Kluyveromyces lactis: one gene and its partners. The protein of the gene in region 2 purifies or fractionates together with the protein of the main gene of each other region. This does not show direct contact. Links are inferred from orthologs where the notes say so. Each region holds a gene or a part of one and is shown on either strand. Other genes may lie near its edges.

Region 1 (2,702 bases), on a different chromosome or scaffold from region 2:
TTGCTGATGAATGGGATCACGGCAGGAAAGTGGATGATAACGTTAACTTGAACCTTTTCCAAGGTAAAGCCGTTGACGGTGAAAAATTATGCTTGGCCAACCTTGACAATGCAATCAAGACGTGGGAGACTGCTAAGAAACAATCGAGAAGAACCAGTAACCCAGTGAGTAAAGTAAGCGATCTTTTTGTCAGCATTCTGGCCTGCGAGGTTACTGGGAAAGACGGATCATCCGAAGCCGATTCTAACACTGTTTTGATCGACGCATCGAGACAAAACAACTTCCATTTCATTGTCATCTTGAAAGACATAAGTAATGATATCTTGCTAATAGTGAGATCCCAAGGTTACCCCTCCAAATGGGCCAAATGGTTACAATCCGATGCACTAAGCGATGAGGAATCCACAGAAAAAATCGACCCAAGTGATTGGGTGAAACCATGGATATCCGAAGGTCTTGATCTAACTTTCGGTATTCTTGCCCAACAATACGTCATAAGCAGAATGAATTTGTGAAGTGTCTTTTACATACATATTTTAAAACCCTAATTACTGTTATTAATCATCATTATTATACTCCCATATCAGTTTTTTGGTAACCATTTCTCTTTCAACGATTGAACCGTCGTGCCTAATACAGCTTTTTCCCAGTCAACCCATAAGCTCGTCTGTTTATTCCAAGACCCATTCTCGACACATTTCTGCAATGGTGACCCAAATAGTGGATCCTCAGCAGCTTTTTTCAAAAGAGATTCCGTCTTAGGAATCTGTTCCATTAAGTCGGGCTTATCAATTTTTGCCAAATATTCCAATTGATCTCTAGTAGGGAATTTCTGGCATATTTCAATGTTGATTTTGTTCTTGTGGTTCGATTTTAATGCCGTTAGAAGATTTTGAGCATGAGATGATTCTAATTTGTGTGTGAATAATGTCACTACGCGAGGTTGAAATTGGATGGTTTTAAACATAGACATGATGAATTGAAGATACTGATTGTCAATGTCCCCCTCTATAAAAAATTCGAACTTTTACTCAGTTAAATACTTCAGTCTAATTAAGTCAGGTCACCCCAGTAATTGTTGCTGCCTTTATATACGCAATACTAAATTAAGACATCTTTGAAATATGTACATTTTGGAAATCATACTATTATCCCTCAAATACGCATGGCAGGGAAACAAAATCCCGGAAAATCCAGCAATCAATACTATGATACGGAGTCATGACGTCCCTACTTAGTATCCGGATTGGCAGCACCTTTCACCTACTTGGAAACAGAATCATCAAGCTAACCATTTGTGCCTTGTCTGTGCAATGACTATGCGGTCCTGTAGCAAAGGTAGTCATCCTATAGTTACCCTGCCTCAACGTTACCATACATTTTTTTTCTTCAATTCGTTTCAGCTAGCTCAACATCAAATGGAATTGCAATGAACTGCCAAAAAGATGAATCGTTGGACGCTTTAACGGCCTATTTATCCTTCAAGTGATACCCAGAACTATCACAATCAGTGTTGAATTTTACAATTCATTATAATCTTTTTTTTTTTTTTCACTTGCTCATTGAAAGAATCAGAGTCTCAAATTACAAATGTCCTCTTCGTCTCCGAATAGCGACAGAGCAAGTTCAGTAGGAGTTACTGAACCAGTGGCTTCCGATGTGGAAGAAAATCGTCCTAAGTCCAAGCTATCAGAAGGTGAAGCAGATTTATATTTGGACCAATACAATTTCACAACTACAGCTGCCATTGTTGGCTCAGTAGACCGCAAGATATTCGTACTATTGCGCGATGGCCGTATGTTCTTCGGTGTACTAAGGACGTTTGATCAATATGCCAACTTAATACTACAGCATACGGTGGAAAGAATATATATCGAGGGTGAGAATAAATATGGTGAATGTGACAGAGGAGTTTTCATGATAAGAGGTGAAAACGTTGTTATGTTGGGCGAAGTAGACATCGATAAGGAGGATGCACCATTGGAATCGATGGAACGTGTTCCATTTGAGGAAGCTGAAAGCTATAAGGAGAAAATGGACGAGGTGAAATACAAGGAGAACACTGCTAAGGGTAAGAGACTAGCGCAGCTTGGTTTAACTACCGATTTCAATAAAGGTGATTTGTATTAAGTATAAGATTATAATTAGTTTAAAAGACAAGCAAAAAAAAATCGTAAAACATACAATTCGAAACTAAACTAAACTAAACTAAATCATTACACAAACTGGAGATCGTGTGGTTTTGAAGGGTATTTATCTTTTGATACTCAATTATATATCACATAGAGATATATATATTCACTTATATATGGTTCGGTACTGTACTATTCATAATAAGTAAAATGCATAGATAGCGCGGCATGGCATTCCAAAAAAAAAAAAAAAAAAATTAATGGGACAATAATCCCCATTTGACATAAAATAGAACCATTATAACGGTCAAAATTAATTCTTAACTAACGGATCAACTCATTTGCCAGCGAGCGTCGTTAATTCTTGATCGTATGTCTTTTGAAATTTGTTATAATTACTGATTTCCAACCTCCCCAGTTGTGATATTAATGATTCGTCCGGCGTATCATTAATTCTTAGCGATCGACTCACTTGCCACATATGTGACAAGGGTGTTTGTGTTGAACAGAGTCCGTAACATCCATGCAACTGGATAGACCAATCCACCAGTGACGAGATTTCCTTTGGTG
Region 2 (4,356 bases):
ATATCAGTTTATCAATCCTTTTTCCATGTTGGATGAACGTCTGGAATCAGATGAAGGAGTAAAGCCTTTAGTGTGCCATTGTGGTTGTCCCAATGAAAGAGGCTCCATATTTGAGAGATCAGTGCAGGACCCCTTTTGCTCTACTTTTTACAATGATGATCAAGAACCACTCGAGATACACAGTCGTGCAGAAGATTCACTGTATGAATTGAATCCATTGCAGGAGGAAACGCTGTACTATAAGATTCCCAGTGATAATGAAGAAGAGTTTCAGGAGGTAGAGCTTGGAGGGAACCCATTCCGTTCGAATATGATGCGTGGAGATACTTCTTTGAAGGGGAAAATTGGATCACCATCAAAGTGTGGTTGTGTGGTATGTTCGAACTGCCACGGGCTAAGGAAACCTAGATCGAAATCGTCCGCTTCTTACAATGGATACAGTTTCTCGCTAGATTCAAACCCAGTCTCAAGGACAAACAGTATAGTCATTCCATTGTCTAAACAACCCACAAGACAGAGCATTGCTTCTTCTGTTGGATGTCTAGATACAAACAATACCATAAATAATAACAGTCTCTCTTTTGGATCCCCAACTAATATCACTGACGAGGGCGCAATAGATCCTAAATCTTCCAATGGATCAAGATCGTCCATTAGCTTATCTACAAATGCCATTCCAACACACTTATACAGCTTGGAGAGATACGTAAGTTCTGAATTGGATTCAGCGACGGAATCCTTCTTTGATAAGTCAAAACAATTGTCAGACGAAGCTTCAACTCATGGAACAGAAGACACCGTCTCTTCATCGTTGGCAAAAATGTCATTACGAACTTCACCTCAAAGTTCAAATAGCACAATTGCCAATCCAAACACCTACACTAATAGAACCATACCAGAAATACCGTCAGGAACTCAATCAATTAACCAATATTCATCTTCACATCCACCACCATTTTTGGACGCAAGAAAAAGAAGAAAGTCTTTCATTGAACAGGCTTTATCAGAGAGTTTCTCATAATAAAATTCACAACCCCAGTCTTCAACCACCCTCAGTTACCCCAATCATAATCATCAGTATACCCTCATGCATCAAATATATAAACGTAATAGGACATAGACTGTCACCTAATCACTATTTAATTACCCGACTTTTGCATGCATTTGCTGATTCTTTTTTTTTTTTTTCAGTTTGTGTACTTCACATCTCATCTCACATCTCATCAGAAAATGCATCAACTTCCATACATAAAAGTATTTAATCATAATATGCTTCAACAGTTATTATTTCCTATATCACTTTATCTGTATTTTCAAGAAGTTCTGTAAATTGAGCATCTATCAATGTGCTGAGTAACATATTTTGATTTGTGACTCTGACTCATTTCTTGCGAACTTTTTTTTTTGGTTAGTTCGATCTATTCTGTTCAAAGCTATTCTTTGAAGTAGATTGTACACGACTGGTGCCTTTATTATCTCAGTACAATTAGAATCAAGTTTCCTTATGACGATGCGTTTGCCAAATGAACCGTTTGATTCAGATTCGGACTCAAACGAATCTGTTTCTTTGAGAGACGATGACGACAAAAACTTTTTCTACGATACTGATGAGATGCTGGACGAGGAATACTCTGAGTTCCACGGCACTGCTGCTAATACAGATCCTATTGCGGAACATGCTTGTGCATATTGTGGTATTGATAATACTTCATGTGTTGTCAAGTGTAACATTTGCAGCAAATGGTTTTGTAATTCGAAAAATGGTACTAATAGTTCCCATATTGTGAACCATTTAGTTTTATCCCATCATTCTTCAGTTTCATTACATCCAGACTCAGAGCTAGGAGATACTACTTTGGAATGCTACAATTGTGGACGTACTAATGTGTTTGTTCTTGGTTTTGTTCCGGCTAAGAGTGAGGCTGTTGTGGTCTTGTTGTGCAGATTGCCTTGTGCTAAAATGAAGAATGTTAATTGGGATACAGATAACTGGCAACCACTTATTGAAGAAAGGAAGATGCTATCTTGGGTGGCAGAAGAACCAAGTGAAGAAGATCAGTTGAAGGCCAGGATGATTACTCCATCTCAAATTACGAAATTGGAAGCAAGATGGAAATCAAACAAAAACGCTACAATTATGGATATTGATATGGTCGAACAAGATGAAGATATTCCTCCGACTTTGATGAGATACACTGATGCTTATCAGTACCAAAGATCATTTGGTCCTTTGATTCAGTTAGAAGCAGATTATGATAAGCAATTAAAGGAATCACAGGCCTTAGAACACATCTCTGTCACATGGGATTTAGCATTGAACAACAGACATCTAGCTACTTTTGCATTATCCACATTCGAATCTAACGAATTAAAAGTTGCCGTTGGTGATGAGATGATTTTAAAGTATAGTGGTCCACAACATGCAGATTGGACAGGAAAAGGTTTCATCATCCAGCTACCAAACAGTTTCAAAGATGAATTTACTCTTGAATTGAAACCAAGTCAAAAAACTCCACCAACTAATTGTACTACAGGATTTACAGCAGTTTTTGTATGGAGGGGAACTTCTTATATTAGAATGCAAGAAGCGTTAAGAAAATTTGCTGTCACCAAAAAATCATTATCAGGGTTCTTGTATTATAAGATATTGGGCCAAGAGGTTCCAGATGTGGAATTTGATGTAGAATTACCCAAAAGCATTTTTGTGCCTCACTTCACCGAGTTAAACCAATCTCAAAGTAATGCTGTGAAGCATGTTTTACAAAGACCTTTATCATTGATCCAGGGACCTCCTGGTACCGGTAAAACCGTCACTTCAGCTACCATTGTTTATCATTTGTCTAAAATCCACAAACAGCGTGTTTTAGTTTGTGCACCATCTAACGTTGCAGTGGATCATCTTGCTGCCAAGTTGCACAGTATGGGTTTAAAGGTAGTACGATTAACTGCTAAAAGTAGAGAAGATGTGGAGAGCTCAGTGTCCGAGTTAGCATTGCATAACTTGGTCAGCAGGTCTGCAGAAGGTAAACTCAAAAAACTTCTCAATCTTAAGGAAAAAACAGGGGAACTTTCCTCATCGGATACCACGAAATTTGTGAAGTTAGTGAGAAAATCAGAAGCTACCATCATTCAAAAAGCTGATGTTATTTGCTGTACTTGCGTCGGCGCTGGTGATAAAAGATTGGACTATAAGTTCCGCACAGTATTGATCGATGAAAGTACTCAAGCGTCAGAACCTGAATGTTTGATCCCTATCGTCAAGGGAGCCAAACAAGTTGTTCTAGTTGGTGATCATCAGCAACTTGGTCCTGTCATTTTAGATAGAAAAGCTGGTGACGCTGGTTTGAAACAATCTTTGTTTGAAAGATTAATTTCCTTGGGTCACATTCCTATTAGATTGGAAGTCCAATATAGAATGAATCCACAATTAAGCGAATTCCCAAGCAACATGTTCTACGAAGGTAGTTTACAGAATGGTGTCACCATCGAGCAACGTACTATTGCAAGATCTACCTTTCCATGGCCAATTCATACTATCCCTATGATGTTTTGGGCTAACTATGGTCGTGAAGAGATCTCAGGCAATGGTACTTCCTACTTGAACAGAATTGAAGCCATGAACTGTGAAAAGATCATTACAAGACTATTCAAAGATGGTGTCAAACCAGAACAGATTGGTGTTATAACTCCTTATGAGGGGCAGAGAGCATATGTTGTACAATATATGCAAATGAATGGTTCGATGGAAAAATCATTGTACATGGGCGTTGAAGTGGCATCAGTAGATGCTTTCCAAGGTAGAGAAAAAGACTATATTATTTTGTCTTGTGTCCGTGCCAATGAGAGAAACACCATTGGTTTCTTGAGTGACCCACGTCGTCTAAATGTTGCGTTGACTCGTGCTAAATACGGTCTAATAATATTGGGTAACCCAAGGGCACTATCTCGCAATAGCTTATGGAGTCATCTACTACTTCATTTCAGAGAAAAGGGTTGTCTTGTTGAAGGGTTTTTGGATAATTTACAACTCTGCACAGTCCAATTGACGAAACCTTCTAGGGCACCCAGGAAAGCCCCATCCAACAACAGTAGTTATACACAATATGCTGGTCAGAGAGACTTTGACACTCAAAGTTTGGTCTCATTCGGTGGCCAAAACGTCGTTGAAAAATCTTTTATTCCAAACACGGACTTGTCTTCGTTATTGAACCAACAATATTGGAATGGACAGTCTTTTGATACACAATCGCGCTTAAGTGCTACGCATCCTGTTAACCAATACGATAAAGACGCGGTCAATTTTGATGGAAGTTTATCCAATGGCTTAAGGAAGTACAATGGAGTGGGCTCAAAGTA
Region 3 (3,233 bases), on a different chromosome or scaffold from region 2:
AAGGTTCAACACGAAATTATTACTGGCTTAAGATACGTGCAATACACCAAAAAGGCAGGCATTGCAGTTGATAAGATTGATGACCACTTGGGTTCGTATGCTCCAAATACCACAAAGAACCCATTTTATGAGGTGGAATTGCCTGAATCTGAAGCGCCAAGTGGTTTCCTTGTTCGCGGGAATTATTCTGCAGTCTCAAAGTTCATAGATGATGATAAGAACAACCATTTGACTTTGAATTGGGGTGTTGAAATTGTGAAAAGGTGATGATTTATGATACATACTCTAAGCTGTGACAATATTTTCGCCATTGATCAGACATTGATTGTGGATGAATCTTTAGTGACGAAGTAATGTTCATGTCCAGGCTAGTCATTGCCCGGGCCCATCTTCTGAACAACGTAGCTGGCGTTCTCTAAAAGCTGAAACATTTCAATATGAACAAGTAAAAACCATTATGTTTGTAATCGCATTATATACGTCTATGATTAGATCTAACTTTTATTTGCTTCAGCAACGAAAATGACGTGCTTCATTTATGGGTTTTCCATTCTTTTTGTATCCATTAGAGTCATTTTTACCACTGTTCTTTTTCTCATAAGGTTGAAATACTGGTGGTGGCATGGCATACATTGGTTGTCCTGGTATCATCATTCGATTGTTAGTCATTGGAGCTCCTATAGGGTAGTACATATACTCCATTGGCGCTACCATCTGATATCCGAACGGAATAGAATCTGGTCTCATTGGTGCCATCGGAGGTGGCACTCCATAATATGGATGCATAACAGGCTGTCTATTCAATGGCTTGTTATACCTGTTATTGTGTGAGTTCTGTCTCTTGTTGTTATGCTGGTATTGTGTTTTCTTCATATATTTCATTTCGTTTTGATGGTTTAGATTAAATCTGGAAGTCTCGAACTGATGAGGCTGAGGAGAATCATCTGCTTCCCCATTCGATCCACTTGCAGAATTCAGTGTTACAGGTGTCGCAGGTGGGGTGGAAACTGGGGTGAGGGACGATGGAGAACCAGAGAAGATCTTCTCTTTTTCTTCATTATACTGTTGTTCTTTTATTCTTCTCTGTTCCTCTAAATCTATGACCGTCGAATCTTTATTTGACCCTGCACCCTTTTCTTCTTCCAAAGTGTTTTCTATTGATGTTGAAGTAGTTGCTTCGTGGCTTAAATCCCTCGATTGTCCGCTATCTGTTTCCACCTCCCGTTTAAGTATCTTCACTTTTTTCTTGATAGACATACGAAGAGCTGCTGCTGCAGGTGAAACCCCTTCAGCACTTTTATCATCAGTAACCTGTGCATTGTCTCTGGTTGTTTGATTATCCGATACGTGTTCAGGAGCTGACACTGGCGTATGATGCTGACTACTCTGTCTTGGCTTTTGTCTTATTGTCTTGTGTATCAATTGTTGCTGATTATTAGCTGCTGCCATCGAAGCAAGGGCGTAATACTCTGGTGGAAACTGGTACATGACCTGTGGTTCCAATTCCTGGAGAAGGATCAGATTTGCATTTGGTTCATAGTCATTCTGTTTATAGACGATCACACATTTATCATTGTCCTTCGAAACTGTATGTTGCAAACCATGGTATTCTGCTACTTGATGCGACAGTAATCTATAATAAGAGTTCATTGGTTTCAATTGATAAGTATAAGCTGAGGATTCAACAAAATCTAGAACGCTATTCTCCAGATCAATCAAAAACACTCGATCCTGAGGTTTTTGAAACAACGCTATCAGCAATGCCGGCGTAACTTTAAGCTCTTCCATGTTACAATCCTCTTTCCAAAAAGTCGTTATATGGTACACTATCGGTAGAGTCACTCAGTGGTGATAATTCAATTACGTTGTTGGCAGAATACCCCTCGTTAACTTCAACCAATGGCTGTATATCTTGTAGATCTTTAATCTATTTTGTTCCGAAATACCAATACCTAATATTAGCTTCTTGAAAGTAAGGTAGGAACGAAGGGAAAAAAATTTGGCCAGAGTATGAGACAAATAGAGGAAGGGATTTAGGATAAACCTACAAAAAAAGGTGTTGAAGATTTCTATATGTGATGTTACTCAGACTAGTAATGATGCAGTCAATTCTTGAAATAATGGCGTTCAGTAATTTTTACTGAATTGTACTCCGTTGTATCTATGTAAGAAGTGTGAAAGATGAACCTTGTTTCTGTTAGATATGATCTATGGATAAGGGAAAACAAACTTGATATTTTTGATATGGCAACGAATGAATCAAAATTTAGTTGAAATAGTTGTGTATTTAAATAATACTGCTCGTCATGTGCCAATGGTGAAGTATGCATGCGCGTGTTGCAATTGCGAATCATAAAAGAAGGAACAGATGTTAACTGACACTGCGTAAGAAAGGTGCATTATTCAATTGAAACAGAGAGGATACCCCGTCTTTTGGATGGAGGCAATGTAGTGATTAAGTCGACGTGGGATCGATTCCTTCACAATCCAGTACCACGCAGCGTTTCTGGTGAAGAAGGGTGCATTCCTGTCGGAACCAATTGAGACAGATTTATTCGGACCCCAGAAATTTAATTTTCGGGGGCCGAAAAATACGCTGATACAAGCGGTTTACTAAGACGGAGAAATTACTGATATAAAGTTATCTAAATATACACTTATCAATTAATCAATATGCTATTAACGAAAATACTCATAGGGAATCTAGTGGAGTAGACGGCGAAAATCAAGTCTATAAGACCAAATTTTATAAATTTGGTATAACGCTCGTCTATTACACGAAAAGCGTGCTGTTAGGTATAGTGAAAGTATTCATCAGGTCCTAGGGTTTCATTTTGATTCAGTTTGATTTATCAGAATGACGTTAATGAGAGACATTTTTATGGTGACCCTTGACCCGAATGATTCCAAAGGGTGCACTTATGTTGGAGATATAGAAGATGTATCTGACCTTAGTGCAGACTGTGTTGATCCCATTGTTTTGTATCAATTGACCGAAAATGAGTCGTTACAAGAACAGCCGTTGAAATATTTAAACTCATGTTTCCAGCGTTGTCAGCAATCCAAACGTATATCGAAAAAGAATCTGGATGAACAGCAAACTATTACCTTACAAGAGATTGATAGGCTTATCGTGGGTTATGCTTTAGTTTGTTTCCAGATCGAAGAATTTGCAATTAAGGGCTCTTTCCAACAGTATATTTCTGATATATTACAAGATTTGGATAAGTTCA

The links.
Region 1: the proteins of NAM7 (region 2) and LSM1 purify together in Saccharomyces cerevisiae (affinity purification with mass spectrometry; 3 studies listed by BioGRID, with this or other methods). This does not show direct contact. The link is inferred for Kluyveromyces lactis from reciprocal best matches to the Saccharomyces cerevisiae genes NAM7 and LSM1.
Region 3: the proteins of NAM7 (region 2) and RBS1 purify together in Saccharomyces cerevisiae (affinity purification with mass spectrometry; 3 studies listed by BioGRID, with this or other methods). This does not show direct contact. The link is inferred for Kluyveromyces lactis from reciprocal best matches to the Saccharomyces cerevisiae genes NAM7 and RBS1.

What each region holds. Positions count from the first base shown.
Region 1 is NC_006041.1:1,347,767-1,350,468, forward strand, and holds LSM1 (Lsm1p), read left to right. Parts: upstream 1-1,590; coding exon 1,591-2,130; downstream 2,131-2,702. Other genes in the region: DUF5427 domain-containing protein MTC1, read left to right, coding at 1-515; FMP46 (putative redox protein), read right to left, coding at 584-973; KLLA0_E15181g (uncharacterized protein), read right to left, coding at 2,470-2,702. UniProt on the Saccharomyces cerevisiae protein: Component of the cytoplasmic LSM1-LSM7 complex which is involved in mRNA degradation by activating the decapping step.
Region 2 is NC_006038.1:566,404-570,759, forward strand, and holds the start of NAM7 (ATP-dependent RNA helicase NAM7), read left to right. Parts: upstream 1-1,504; coding exon 1,505-4,356. Other genes in the region: MBR1 (Mbr1p), read left to right, coding at 26-1,021. UniProt on the Saccharomyces cerevisiae protein: RNA-dependent helicase required for nonsense-mediated decay (NMD) of aberrant mRNAs containing premature stop codons and modulates the expression level of normal mRNAs. Also capable of unwinding double-stranded DNA and translocating on single-stranded DNA.
Region 3 is NC_006042.1:520,879-524,111, reverse strand, and holds RBS1 (Rbs1p), read right to left. Parts: upstream 1,789-3,233; coding exon 511-1,788; downstream 1-510. Other genes in the region: RDI1 (Rdi1p), read left to right, coding at 1-267; ubiquitin-ubiquitin ligase UFD2, read left to right, coding at 2,858-3,233.